2 linked regions of the Struthio camelus genome follow. The protein of the gene in region 1 interacts with the protein of each later gene in a biochemical or structural test. Links are inferred from orthologs where the notes say so. Each region holds a gene or a part of one and is shown on either strand. Other genes may lie near its edges.

Region 1 (7,296 bases):
GTATTACGGCTCTTTCACTTTCCAGGTGACTCTCTGGCACTGCATCCATCATATCCGTTGATGTGGACCTCAGCAACCCTCTATGCAAAACAGGGAAAAGAAAACAGAGATTAACAGTCAGAAGTCCCCTGGGCTGCTGAAAGAGGAGCTTGCATAAGGAGGAAAAAGGCCTCTGAAAGTTCCTGGTGCATTTGTCTTCCACCCAGCACACTTAGTTGATCCTTTCTCTGGTCCTGAGTGAGTCCACTCTGCAGAGTGTGCAGTATGAGAACCTACAGGGATCTACTTGATCCTCTCTTCAAAGCATCGGTTGCTGATGCTCTTGGGATGAATTGGATCATGACTTTTAAGCAGACCTCCATGCCGATCTGCAGGGGGTGCAGAACTCAGGCTGCGATGGCTCTTGAAATTGCCTGCTGCAACCAAGCAATGAACCACAAAATCTTGGTAGAGAGAGAAGGATCTTTAGGACAGAAAAAGTAGTTTTCTTCTGAATTTATGATTTCCATGTATAAACATCAGAAGGCAGCCCATGACCAGGTTTAGTAGTGGAGCAGGCTGCTGCTAAGCTCTGTGTGAGGGGAAGCAGGAGGGCTTCCGAGAGCCTCTCCACATCTCACACTGCACTGAAAGGTCATTCATGTTGCAGGCAACTTCTTTTGCTTATAAAGGTTTCAGGACCAAGTAAGTGATCTTTAACATGAGGAAGAATGAGAGAGATTTGGATAGTGGGGAAAGTCCATGAAGCACCTTCATGGGAGGTGCTTCATGTAATAACCCAAGAATAATAAGACCAAGAAGGAAAAGCTTGATTTAAGTGACAGGACTGGAGCAACAGCAGTGGGAACATCCACTATAGCCCAGGCGCAGCCTGAAAGTAGATTATCTTAGGCAAAAATTTGAATGAACAGTTCAGGACTCTTGTGAAAGTAATTCCCCTTTGTCACTTTGCAAAATGTCCGTGCATGGGAAGGTGACTGGAGGTAGAAAAAAATCATCTTTTGTGGCAGAAAAATTCAAAGTCCTGCTAACCAGAAGGGAAACCACACTTAATACGAAGTAGTGGTTAGTGAGAGACTTGGACTAGTAATTCTTGAGCCTGCAAAGCTTTGTATGTGCATTTGCCTCCTGTGACTGTTCCTGGTGAGGTGACAGACTTAGAGTATGTTCACATCTGTGCCTATGCAGGGTCAAGGCCTGAAGGCAGGTGAGTTTATTGGCACTAGGAAATTCTCCGTATGGCCTCTCTCCTCTTCCCATGGAATTCAATAGGAATTTCACTGTTAAATCCAGCAACGTTGAAAATACATGCTCACATCCTGCACTTTGTGTCCGCAGGGGAAAAAATGATGCTAAAACTAACCACAGGTTGCCCTAAATGACTGAAGTTAACTGCAAATGAGAAGCTGACTGGATAGGATCTTTGAACTAATGGTATTAGCAGTATCTGGAAGAAACTTTGCTAATTTTACTGAATTCTCCCTTTCTAAGTCTTTTCACTCTGCTATGGGATATTCCAAAGGAACAAAAAGCCCTGTTAAAATGCATAGGATTTGAGATAATAGTCTCTGTATCCCGACCCATCCTGAAGGTAGAGGCTTAGGCACAAGTTCACACTTACTGTTAGGCATAAAGCTAAGGTGCCTAAATCAGGAATAAAATCAGCCTGGGCTCTGTCCATAGCCAGGGAGACAAGGACAACTGGAGAGAAATGCAGAACTTAGGGGTGGAGAGGGATGTAAGAGAGACTACACAAAGTCAGATGAATCTAGCCCAGGACCTTGTTTCGGACAGGGACCCACAGCAGGTGATTAATGGATGAAAGTAAGACACAGGGCACATGCAGAGTATTCCTTCCCTGGGAAAAACTCTTCTCTCTTCTGGAGAGGAGTGGAGAAGGCATTCGCTGGGACACTGTGACTAGGAGACCTACCCTGTACGAATTCACCTATGCCCTTTTTGAACCCATTTACCCTGTTGGCCCCCAGAAAATCCTGCAGCAGCGTGCCCGGACCATGTAGTTGCGTTGTATGAAAAGAAAAACAAACAAACAAGCAGCTCCTATCCTTTGGCCACCGTTGCGTTGTCTCAGTGTGTCAGGCAGCCTCAACAGCCAGTTCGGTCTCTTCGCGCACGCGAATGATGCACAGCCCTCTGCAAGGGGCGCGGTAGGTGCCGAATTGGAAGGCTTAAAAAAAAATCATAGGAACGCTTGCACGTCTGCAGAGAAGAAGGAGGGGCTGAAGGCCACCCAGGGAGAGGCAGATAAACCCCCTTGACTAGGAAGCTGTGACAAGATTTCTCCGGCCCTCCGTAAATGAAAGGCAACAGTTGCAGGTGCCCTTCTGAAGGGCCCCAGAAGAAGGGGGTCACGGCATCTCGCCGGAGGGATTTGGGATGTGTGTCCCCCCCCCTCCCGCGAAGCCCTCCAAAATTGGGGACAGCAAGCGACAGGGGGCGCGCCGCCACCATTTTTAACCTGCAGGACACAAGGGACAGTCCGTTTCCAGCCAGAGGGACACCCGGGCAGCATCACTCCTCTCACTTTTTGGTGTAAAATACTATTTCCCCGTTGTCTCAGCGTCTTGCCAAGCGATTCCCTCGGTGGGCAGAGGCGCATCCTTGGGTTGCGTTCTCAGTCTGGAGCCAAAAAACAGCTAATCGATCCCCCCCCCCCCCGCCAAGTATGGGCAGAAAAGGGTTGTGGTGACAGGAGGCGGATCTGCCAGGTAGCTGGCCTGAATATCGCGGTAGCTATCGCGATAAGAGCATGCCCTCCCCGAGCTGATGTTTTTTTTTTCGTTTGGAAGCGGCTCCTGAAGGCGCCGGAGTCTTGGGAAAAGTCTTTTTAAAGACTTCCTCTTAGTCTGAGTTTCCCTTGGTTAAATGAAATCCTGTTCTCTGTTGGGTTTGTATTGATATTTAGAAACTATTGCTAACCTTCGCTGATTGATGCATTTTTCCGTTCGGGAGGAAAAAAAAAATATTAAAAGAAGGTCAGTGATTTATATTTTTCCATGTGTTTTGAAGACAGATATAGCTAGATACAGAAATAGAAATATGAAGCCGATTGCGTGTAGAAAAAAAAATATACAGGAGAAATCAAGGCAGTAAGGTGTATTTTAGAGTCTTTTGGGCAGGCAGATTTACACTTTGCAATGACAGCTGCAGGATGCTGCTGGAGGAGGAATCGCCCGAGGGCTGGGAGGTGTTTGGCCACCAGACGGTGGTTTTTCCTCTTTCCTCCGTTTCCTCTTTCCCAGGGAAGGATCCGCTCAGTCCCTACTGGACCATCGCATTAAATCATTCTCCACTTGGTGGACATCGCCAGGAGCAAACGTGCCCGGCAGCACAGAGGGAGGTAGCCGCTGGCGGAGCAGCGGGCTGCCGCAGGGAGCCAGGAGCCGAGCGGGTTTTGAAGCGGGCTGATTTTTTTTTGTTGTTGTTGCTGTTGTTGTTTTGCTTTGTTTTTTGGGGTTTTTGTTTTTGTTTTTGTTTTTTTTTTTTTGGTTTCCTCGCCAGTGATCATCCCTCCTTCCTTCCCGCCGGCCGCGGCTGCCTGGGGAGCCCCGGCTGTGCCGCAGCCCGGCGGCAGGAGCGGCGGGACCCGCGGCGGCGGCGCTGCCCCCGGCCGCCGGGACCCCGCACGGCCCGGGGGCTCCGCGGCGGCGCCGACCGCCCGCGCAAAGGAGGCACCCGGCCCCGCGACGGCGCTTTGCCTGCACCCTGCCGTCCCCCCACCCCGCCTCCCCTCCCTGTTTGTTTTAGTTACGAAATTGTTGTAGGTACCTGAGCCAGCAACCTTGGGCCGGGCTGCGCGGCGCGGCGGAGCCTAAACGGCGGCTGCCGGCCGCGGGCGCCTCTCCCCGCACGTCGGGCCGAGCCCGGAGATGGGGCAGAGCCCGGGCGCCGCCGGCCGGCAGGCGGCCTGAGCCGTCGGGGCGGGGAGCCCGGGCCCCGGGGGGGCCTCCTCCGAGCAGCTGCGGGGAGCAAAAGGTGCGTGGGGCTGGGGGGGGGGGAGGCTGGGCAGGCGGGGCGGGTGGGGGGGGGGATACTGGGAAGAAGCTGCCGTCGGGGCTGCCGGGGGCGGCGGGGAAGGCTGGAAATCGGCTCCCGCAGGATTCCCCCTACGGAGCGGGGAGAAGCGCGGGTGCCGGGGCGGGGAGGGGGGCGAAGAGGGGGGAGACGACCTAGGGGTCGGCCCGCTGCCCCAGCGGTGCCGCTGGGCCCCCCGGCCTCGGCGGCGGGGCGCGGAGAGGTGCTCGGGGGGCCGCGGAGGAGCCTCTCCCGCCTAGGTGTGAGCTGATTATTCAAATGGGCAGCCGAGGACCTGGGGATTGGAGGCTCGCCCGGCGGCTCCGTGCTATATCACTCGGGCACCCACGTCACTGCAGCACTTGTCCTCCTCTTCCTCCTCCTCCTCTTCTTCCTCCCTCCTCCCTCCTCCTCCTCCGGCTCCTCCATCGCCTCCGGGCGACTCTTCGCCGCGAAACGCTGAGAAAACCCACCCAAGCAGCAGCAGGGAAAAAACCCCAGCCCCAGAGCAGCTCGATCCCCCCCCCTCCCTTCCTCCCTCCCTCCTCTTCCTCCTCCTCCAGAGGCTCAGGCAGAGGGAGCGCAACAGAGGGGAGGGAGGGCTGGGGACTTTTTTTTTTTTTTTTGGGTTGCTCTCTGTCGTCGTTTGTTGTGGCTGTTAAATTTTAAACTGCCATGCACTCCACTTCCAGTATGCTGGGAGCGGTGAAAATGGAAGGCCATGAGCACACGGACTGGAGCAACTACTACGGGGAGCCCGAGGTAAGGAGAAAGCCGGCGCTGGCGGGCGTCTGTCCCGCCGGCCCCCGCCCGCCTCCCCGGCCCCTGCCCGGCCCGGCCCGGCCCGGCCCGCTCCCCTCCCGGGACACGTCCCTCCGCTGCACCCGTGTTAGCCCTGGGATAATATTAACTCGGTCATCAAATATTGACTTGAGGAAGCTCCGGATCCTCTGCCTGCCCGCAGCCGCACGCACGCCGGCCAGGGCTGTGCTCGGCGCTGGGCAGCGGGCGCCGGCGGGGGGGGGGGGGGGGGGGGGGGGGCTGGGGAAGGTAGGGGTAGGAGGGAAAACATCGTGGTGCAAAGGTTGGCGGGCGGGGGGGGGTATTTTGGGAGGGTGTGTCGTGAGCGTCCCCCCCCCCCTCCCCGGAGAGGCGAGCAGGGCGCGGGTGCGTCTCGGGGAGGCAAAAGTTAGCGCGTTCAGGGCTGCATGTCGCTTTTTGCTCTTCCTCCCTTCCCTCCTCTCCCCGCCGGGTATTTTTTGTCGCTTCGGGCAGGGATATCCCTTCCTTTTCCTTCCAACTCCGAGGCTCGTTTCCAGGGACAGGTCTATCGATCTTGTTGCAATCTCTTTCTTTTTTTTTGTTTTTGTTTTTGTGTGCGTGTTTGTTTTTTTTTTTTTTAATTTTTTTCATTAACGAGCGTTTCAACACGCAGGAGCTTTAACCCTTCCCACCTCGCCGGGCAAGGTGCTCCGGGGCTGCAAAAGCTCGTGTGCAAGCGGCGATCTGGGTTGGGGCGGGGGTCTCCCCGTACCGTTTCTGTGCTTGGGGGGGCTGCCATCGCCCCTGGCAGGGTTACAAGTCTACCTGTTCCCCATCCCCCCCAAATCTTCCTCTCTCTCATTTGCCCTTGTAGAGCTACTCCTCGGTGAGCAACATGAACGCGGGGCTGGGCATGAACAGCATGAACACGTACATGACCATGTCGGCCATGAGCACCACGGCCAACATGACGGCTGCCACCTCCATGAACATGTCCTACGCCAACACGGGCATGAGCCCCTCGCTCACTGGCATGTCCCCGGGCACGGGCGCCATGCCTGGCATGGGCTCGGCCGGTGTGGCAGGAATGGGCACCCACCTGAGCCCCAGCATGAGCCCCATGGGGGGCCAAGCCGGCTCCATGAACGCCCTGGCCCCTTACACCAACATGAACTCTATGAGCCCCATCTACGGGCAGTCCAACCTTAACCGCTCTCGGGACCCGAAGACCTACCGGCGGAGCTACACGCATGCCAAGCCGCCCTACTCCTACATCTCCCTCATCACCATGGCCATCCAGCAGTCACCCAACAAAATGCTAACGCTGAGCGAGATCTACCAGTGGATCATGGACCTCTTCCCCTTCTACCGTCAGAACCAGCAACGCTGGCAGAACAGCATCCGCCACTCGCTCTCCTTCAATGACTGCTTCCTCAAGGTGCCCCGCTCCCCAGATAAGCCAGGTAAAGGCTCCTTCTGGACACTGCACCCTGACTCAGGCAACATGTTTGAGAACGGCTGCTACCTGCGCCGCCAGAAGCGCTTCAAGTGTGAGAAGCAGCTGGCCGCCAAGGACAGCGGTGGGGCAAGTGGCGGAGCAGGCGGCGGGGGCAAGAAGGGGCCCGGGCAGCCACCCAGCCAGCCGTTGGGGGAAGGCAGCTCCTCAGGCGGCTCTGAGGGCTCAGCTGGTGCTGAGTCCCCTGCCAGCAGCTCGCCGTGCCAGGACCACAAGCGTGCCCTGGCTGACTTGAAGGGCACGACAGGGCTGAGCCCCGGGGAGCCAGCAGCCTCTCCAGGGCAGCACCTCCTGGCCCCCCAACACGCTGGCCTGCCCCATGATGCCCATCTCAAGCCTGAGCACCACTACGCCTTCAACCACCCCTTTTCCATCAACAACCTGATGTCCTCCTCTGAGCAGCAGCATCACCACCCTCACCACCACCACCACCACCACCACAAAATGGACCTCAAGGCCTACGAGCAGGTGATGCACTACTCGGGCTACGCCTCACCCATGCCTGGCAGCCTGGCCATGGGACCTGTAACGAACAAAAATGGCTTAGAGTCCTCCCCTTTAGCCGGAGAGACTTCTTATTACCAAGGTGTGTATTCCCGGCCCATCATGAACTCCTCCTAAAGGGGCAAGGGAAAAACCTCCCCTCACAAGGGGAGAAAAACCACCCCACCCCAGCCCCTGCGCAGTCCCCTAGCAGAGGGATGGACTATGAACGCTGTTGAGCACGGTGCATATACATATATATCTATCTATTTTTTTTTGGTTGGCTCCAGATGTTTGCATCTGTTTGGGAAACAACTGATGTGTGTCATGCAAGCATCTCGACCCACGCCAAAGGCAGGCGTGTTGGTCCCCGCCGGCCAAAAGCCACCCATGTCCCGGGGGACCGTGATTCCCTTGGTTTACTTTGTGGGGTGGTTTGTTTTGGTGGGGAGGGGTGGGTTGGGGGTGAGGGGACGGGGAGAGTTTTTTTTTGTTGGGGT
Region 2 (7,753 bases), on another chromosome or scaffold:
GCCAGCCCGGTGCCCCGCGCGGCGCTGCGCGGCGCTGCGCACCCCCCCGCCGCCGCCTTTTCACGTGCTGCCCCCGCTCCAAACTTTCCCTCCGCAGCATCCATCACCGCCTCCCTCCACCGGGGGCCGCCTCGGCCGCCCTGCCCACGGCGGCGGCGCGGTCCCGCGGGGGCGCCCTGCGCCTCCCCCTCCCCTTAGCGGGGTGCCAACTTTTAAGCGCTGCCCCCACCCCCGCAAGCCATCCCCGGAGGGGAGTGGGGCACTGCTAGGAATTATTATAATTATTCCCCCCCGCTTCGCACCCCCCGCCGGCCCGCCCGCAAGGCAGGGGGCGCGCGGCCCGGGCCGCGGGGCGGCGGGCGCGGGCGCGGGGCGGCGCGGCGGGGCCGGGGCTGCCGGTAAGTTGGCGGCGCGGTGGCGGCAGCCCCGGGGGAGCGGGCGCCGCGCGCGCTCCCATTGGCCGCCCCGCCGTCAGCTGCTCCTATTTTCTGCTGTCGCTTTTGGCGCTCGGCCATCCAGAAACAAACCACTTCGATGACTACTAATAGTTATAGCCAGATGTACTAATACACAACAAATCACGGTCCGGGAGAGGGGCGAGCAAATGAGTTCCTATTTTGTGAATCCCACTTTCCCTGGGAGCCTGCCCAGTGGCCAGGACTCTTTCCTCGGGCAGATCCCCCTTTATCCGGCGGGCTATGATGCTCTGAGGCATTTTCCGGCTTCTTACGGGGCAAGCAGCCTGCAGGACAAGACTTACACCTCACCTTGTTTTTACCAACAGTCCAACACCGTCATTGCTTGCAATCGGGCTTCCTATGAGTATGGAGCCTCTTGTTTTTATTCGGACAAGGAAATTAGTAGCGCCTCTCCCTCCGGCAGTGGCAAACAGAGGGGGCACGGGGACTATCTGCACTTTTCTCCCGATCAACAATACAAATCGAGCAGCGTGCAAACCAAAATTGTAAATGACGAAGGCACCGACCGGAAGTACACGAGTCCTGTTTACCCCTGGATGCAGCGGATGAACTCCTGTGCTGGTAAGTCATTTGAATGAAATCGAGGGGGGAGGAAAAGTTTCTTTCCCCAAGATTTTTTTTTTTTTTCCTTAGATAAAGTCCAGACTGCTGGAGAGAAATGGCTCCTGCAGGGCAATGTGTAACATGAAACCTTCCCAGGTTATTTTAGACCTGGCACATTGGCACCCTGGGAGCAGCGGCCGAGAGCCCGGCTCGTGGGTTATCTGGTAAAACTTACTGAGGGATCCTTAGGAAGCAGCGGGAAAAAAAAAAAGGAAAAAAAAAGAAAAGAAAAGCAAGGAAGGAGCAAGGCTGTTTCACCACTCTCCTTAACCCAGCCTAAAGCCCCTGCTTCGCTCCTGCATTGTCAGAGAGCGCTGTAAGGAATATGCCCTCTGCGCTGAGGCTCCCATGCAGTGGTGGCACATTCCTCACGGCCCCCCTCCCCCAGCTCATTAGCGTGTCAGTATTGGATATTGAGAGCACGTTTCTGGGGCCGTGTGCGCACTTCCACGGCACCGCGCATTTCCCCTGGCTTCCCAGTGAACCTCACGCAGTGGAACTATTCTGCCTGGGAGGGGTGCTGGGGGCTGGGGGGGCGGCTGGCATTGTCCTGGAGCGGCACTTATTTTTAATAATCCCGTTAACACGTTCACTTCCAGTGTTTGCTAGTAACTCCCCTACCCTGCCCTCCTCCAGGGTTTCTGTTTGCTGGACTCTGGGTTGTGCTTCTTTTGGGGAAAGTTTAACTTTTAGCAAGACCATTCGGATGTTGCTTTGCATTTCAGTGCAATAAATTCCGGAGCAAATGGCAAAGGCTGTTCTATGATCTTAAGCTGATGTCTATAATTATACCTAAATTGCAGAGCCTCTATAATCACAGCCATGGCAATAGAAGGTGTTTGTGTAAACACGCACATCCACATGTATGCGCGCACGCACACACACGCACACACACATGCGTGCGACTCCCTGGGTCGCACACACGTGTGTGCGTGTGTGTGTGTGCGTGTGTGTGTGTGTGTGCGTGTGTGCGTGCGCACACAGGCTCTCGACGTGCAGAGTGTAGGCACTGCTCAGCGATTTATGAGGCTGTTACCCACTTCACTTTTCCTAGGTCCAGCTTACAGGCTCTTTGTATCAGAGTTACCCCATCGACCCTAAGCACGATGCACACCCGTATTTACAGCTCTTCAGGCAGGAGAAAAGGGGGGAAATAAGCCTTCAGAAAACCAGAGCACCCCACCACCACCGCGTGTGATAGTGCCTGCGAAAGGAGGCAGAATATACTAACCACTCTTTCTGATCTGAAAATCCCTGGGCCCTGTCCAATGCGATCATTTTGTCTTTACTTCTACAGGTACAGTATATGGATCTCACGGGAGACGAGGGAGGCAAACTTACACCAGATACCAAACGCTAGAGTTAGAGAAGGAATTTCATTTTAACAGATACTTAACCAGAAGACGACGTATTGAGATTGCAAACGCTCTCTGCCTTACTGAACGCCAGATTAAAATATGGTTTCAAAACAGGCGGATGAAATGGAAAAAGGAAAACAAATTCATAAATTCCGCACAGCCCAGCAGCGAAGAAACAGAGGAAAAGTCAGGGGAGTAGAATCATATTTAATAAACGCTACCAGGCCTTTCCTTAGCGCTTACTATTCTCACTATTATGTACCTTGTGTTCCTTCGGCTACTAAAATCCTATAGGTTTGTCACAGTCTATTAATTCCCCAAAGGCTTGGCTAAAAGATATACATTTACAGTCAACTGTGACTTTCTTTAATATATGTAGAAGTCTAAGCTTTCGAGCTGTGTCGTGTATATATATAACCACCTTCCCAAAGCATAGATGGCTTTGCTTAAAGTATTTGAGAAATGGCTCAGATTTTTAAATATTTGAAGTGAGCATCTGTGTGCGGGTGAGTGTCCATGGCATGTCTGTGTGAGAACAGATAAGGGAGTGATTTTGTTGTTGTTTGTTTTTTAATTAGGAATGTTCATATTGTAGAAATACGAGAAATTTTAGAAAATCTTGGTTTTACATTTTCACTAATTCCGGCTATGCCGGGCCGTCTCGTGTTGTGTTTGGGAGCTTATAGTTTGTAGGGGGAAAAAAAAAGTTTTACACATGTATAAGCATTTAAATCGCAAAAAGAAGAAAATTTCTTTAAAAAAATCGTTATATAAAAATATGAGTATGAACTTGCAGTTAAAGCAAAGGTGAATCGCAGGGAGATTTTTAAATGCCGCTAAACTGTCTAATCTGCACTACGAGTATTAAAGTAAAAACTCGCGGTTAAACTTTAGGACAAGCGAGGGAAGAGGTTTTAAGGCGGGCGAACTTCTGTGGTTCCCGTTGAGCTAACACTGAGATTTCGGTGAACTCAGCTTTACACGGAGAGGGCTCTGAATTATAGACTACATTTCGTGGAGATTCATGGGCTTGGTTATTTCTTTAATTCTTTCTTTCTTTCTTTTGGTTTTTATTTATTTATTTTTATTAAAAGTAAAGTAACTGTCATATTGACTCGGGAATGTTCTTCCCCGCTTTTGTGGTATCTCAATTCACATTCGCATTTCCTAGTACTGAAAAAAATATATATATAGCTATAGACACTCTAAAGAACAGCAGCTGCGATAAAATCCTTCCATTTCGAGTTCTCTTTAAGTAAAATGAGCGCAGAGAAAATATTGTCTAATATATGCATTATATATATTGTGAGTGTGTGAGTGTGCGTGTGAAGCTGTGTACAAATATACGTGTATACGCATCAAGGCTCTTTTGTTCGAAAGGAAGCATAATTTGGGCAACCGCTCTGAACATTTTAAAAGCCACATCGCGAAAATATTAGTGCAAAATGGCTACCATCGCATTTGTATTTTTTTCTGGGAGGCGTAAAAACAACGCTGACCATAAAGCCGTCTGGAATTTGACCCCCTAGCCAGAAAAATGCTGCACAATATTTATCTTTCATAGGTACCTGCCATTTCAGATCGGCAGAACCCGACTGCCTCTCGAAAGCTCTCGCACGGGGGGGGGGGGGGGAAGCGGGGGGGAAGGGACATAAGCGTTGCCAGCAACCGAGGATTTATTATATAGTGTTGCTGAACTGGTGTAAATAAGCCGCTCGCGGAAGAGAAAATACAAACGCAGCGGCGTGATTTCTGCGCTCCAGAGTCCCCAGCAGCCCGGGGGAGGGCGCGGGCGGGAGCCGCCGGCCGCGGAGGCCGCCGCGGGGGAGAGCGGGCCGCGGCCCCGCCGCCGCCGCGGCCCCGCGCCCGCCGCCGGGCCCCGCCGCCGCCATGCTCCGCCATGCGCCGCGCCGCGCCGCGGGCCGCCCGCGCGGAGCCCCGCGGAGCCGAGCGGAGGCGGGCGGCCGCGCCGCCGTCGGGGGCTCTCACCCCGGCCCGACCCCGCGGCCGCGCCTTCCCCCGCGCCGCCAGCGGGTGGCGCTCGAGGCCGGCGGACGGGCGGGCGGCGGCGGCGGCGGCGCGCCGCGGCGGCGCGCCCCGGGCCGCCCGCGCCCTCCCAGCTCCCCCACCAGTGCACGAGTTTACCTCTAGAGGTCATCAGGCAGGATTTACGACTGGACAACAAAAGCACGTGATTTGAAGCCGTACCCCATATTTGGGTGCCTACGTAGGAGGGAACCAAGTACATGTCCCAGTCATTTCCATAATTCATCATAAATTGTGCAAGGGTGCTATAGACGCACAAAACGACCAAGAGCCACAAATCAAGCACACATATCAAAAAACAAATGAGCTCTTATTTTGTAAACTCATTTTGCGGTCGCTATCCAAATGGCCCGGACTACCAGTTACATAATTATGGAGATCACAGCTCGGTGAGCGAGCAATACAGGGACTCCGGCAGCATGCATTCCGGCAGGTACGGATACGGCTACAATGGCATGGACCTCAGCGTCGGGCGCTCTGCTTCCACCCACTTTGGTGCCAATGAGAGATCCCGCAGTTACCCGGCCAACACCACCTCTGCCTCGACAGAGCCCAGGTACAACCAGCCCGCGACGTCTTCCCACTCGCCGCCACCTGACCCTCTGCCCTGCACCGCCGTGGCCGGTTCGCCTGTCAGCGAGAGTCACCACGGGGTGAAAAACTCCCTCGCCAACTCCACCAGCACTTCGTCCAATTCCAGCAGCAACACGCACATAAGCAGAGACGGGGTTGGCACCTCGTCTGGGACTGAGGAAGACACTCCAGCAAGCAGCGAGCAGGCAAGTGCCCCGACCGACCAAAGCACAGCCCAGCCTTCACAGCCCCAGATCTACCCTTGGATGCGAAAACTGCACATAAGTCATGGTAAAGCAAATACCCTGTTCTTTCTTTATTTCTCTGGAGGAAAAGGAGGATTTAATGTAAACCGGGTGTCTGCGCTAAGCGAGGTCGGGGAGAGGGGGAGAGGAGGGCGTGAGAGCGTGCAGCCTCCGCACACAACTCTGCTCGCAGGGAAGCCAGGTCCGTTGTCTGGGCAAGTGTCCCCCTCCCCCAAATAAAAATGCCCAGCCCCAAAAATACAGCCTGCCTCGCTCCCGTTGCCAGCCCTGGCTCGTGCAGGGACCGGGAGAGCAGCAACCGCCTTAGCGAGGGGGATCGTGAGCAGAGGCTGCTCCTGGGTCTCCTTTTTAAGGGGGATCCTCCAGTGGGAACAGCGCTGCTGACCCCATTTATTTTTCCGAGCCATACTTAAAAAGAGAATAGGAGAGGGCGAAGAGGGCAGTTTTCCTTGCTGGGAAGCCCTGGGGGAGGGGAGCAGCAGCCCCAAACTCCGGGTGAGGGGCGCGGGGGAGCCGAGCAACTTTCCGACCTGGCTACCTGCCGCGCCCCCGCCGCCGGGGGAGCAGCCGGGGGCTCGCTGCCTCCCACAGCCTTCTCCAGCTCAGCCGTGGGAAAGGGCTGCCCGCCTCTGCTTTGCTCTCCCAGCCCTGGAAACCCATCTCTAGCAGCAGAGGCATCCCCAAACCAGCTTCGCTAGGGGAGGCATGTGGAGATTATTCTCAAAAAAAAAAAAAAAATCGAAATCAAAATCCAAGCGAAAACTTACCACGACCACTAAACCCCCCTCCCCCAATCCTTTGCTAAAAGGGGCTGGAGGGGGGAAACTTGTTGAGCATTTACCCAAACGAGCACAAAACCCAAGCTGGACTGAGAATAACGGTCCTGGTTGCTCGTAGCTGCAATAAGACCTGAGGGCTCCAAGTTGCTGCTGAGAATCTAAATCATGTACTTTTCTCTTCCAGACAACATAGGGGGACCAGAAGGGAAAAGGGCTCGGACTGCTTACACCCGATATCAGACCTTGGAGCTGGAAAAGGAATTTCACTTCAATAGATACCTGACCCGCAGAAGAAGGATTGAAATAGCACATGCTCTTTGCCTCTCAGAGAGACAAATAAAGATCTGGTTCCAAAACAGGAGAATGAAATGGAAAAAGGATAATAAGCTGAAAAGTATGAGCATGGCAGCTGCAGGAGGGGCATTCCGTCCCTAAGCATTTGATCAATTAAAAGTACTGAGCAGTATTAGCTGACCCTGCGTCTCATGTCAGTACTAAGTTGACTTTCTAAAACTTCCTTGTGTTACTTCTGTGAAGAAACCCTGTTCTTGTCGCCCTTATTCATCTTTTAATCATGAGCCTGTTTATTACCATTCTCTCGCGTGTATAAGTAGATCTGCTTTTATCGTACATTTCTTTGTCTTGAATGGCTTTGTCTTGAAAAAATAATAGATGTTTTAACTTATTTATATGAAGCGAGCTGTGTTACTTGAAGTAACTGTTAAAAAGCAAAACAAAAAAGAACAAAAAAAGAGAGAAAAAAAGAGAGAGAGAGAGAAAGAAACCCTCCCCGGTTTAGTACAAATGTTGTGTTGCACTCAACCTGCTTAACTGTGCATGTGTGGTCAAGTGTTAATGTCTGTATAGCTCCAAGCTGTTAAAAATATTTTTATTCAAACTACCTATACAATTCCTGTGTAATTAATGCTGTTGTAGAGGTGAAATGATGAAATCAACTGAACTTGTCCTACGTGTAGTGAATAGTGAATCTGTGACGAAAACTGTGATTCCAAGCAGTATGTCCTTGCTGTGCCTTTGTATATGACTCTTTGCACGAACTCTTAGAAGTGGCTCTTATTAAGCGCAGCTTCTGTGATGTATGTTTTTTGTGAACAAAGTTACAAATATAGTCAAAGTCTGGCTGTTTGAGCAAACTGTGATCAGCTTTTTTTTTTTGTATTTGTTTTTAAAAAAAACTGACTGGAAATCAACAAAAAAATAAACTTTCTATTGTAAATTTTTCGTGATCTGGTTTGTGCAAAGCAAGGAATTGTGCTTCCTGATTTGCCTTTTAAAAATATTAATCCGTGCAGAGTTTGTAGTAATATTTTACCTGGCTCACGCTGCACGTTGCCTGTGATAGAGCTGCAATTGTCCGCTACCAGTATTTTTAATTGAAAGTTTCTCCTTAAGTTCCTCTTTAATGGTTTCTCGTTAGGTGGAAAGCTGCATTGCATGACCACAATCAACACCCTTTGTGGGTGAATCAACTGTTAGCTATTTGCTGATGGTTAAAAAAAAAAAAAAGTGCTTTGTTAAAACACACTGCTAACTCCAAGATGTGTTTGAATCGCTCTAGAATTTCTCCTGTGGTTTCATTAAGTATATTTGCAGGACAGCCACATCAGAGCCCTCTGCGTCTATTAGTA

What was found.
Region 2: the proteins of FOXA2 (region 1) and HOXA5 form a complex in vitro, tested with the Homo sapiens proteins (2 studies listed by BioGRID). The link is inferred for Struthio camelus from reciprocal best matches to the Homo sapiens genes FOXA2 and HOXA5.

The regions. Positions count from the first base shown.
Region 1 is NC_090944.1:146,430,697-146,437,992, reverse strand, and holds the start of FOXA2 (hepatocyte nuclear factor 3-beta), read left to right. Parts: upstream 1-4,251; 5' UTR 4,252-4,710; coding exon 4,711-4,797; intron 4,798-5,671; coding exon 5,672-6,934; 3' UTR 6,935-7,296. UniProt on the Homo sapiens protein: Transcription factor that is involved in embryonic development, establishment of tissue-specific gene expression and regulation of gene expression in differentiated tissues.
Region 2 is NC_090943.1:39,141,192-39,148,944, reverse strand, and holds HOXA5 (homeobox protein Hox-A5), read left to right. Parts: upstream 1-4,655; 5' UTR 4,656-4,788; coding exon 4,789-5,350; intron 5,351-6,288; coding exon 6,289-6,539; 3' UTR 6,540-7,338; downstream 7,339-7,753. Other genes in the region: HOXA6 (homeobox protein Hox-A6), read left to right, coding at 605-1,040, 2,380-2,639. UniProt on the Homo sapiens protein: Sequence-specific transcription factor which is part of a developmental regulatory system that provides cells with specific positional identities on the anterior-posterior axis. Also binds to its own promoter.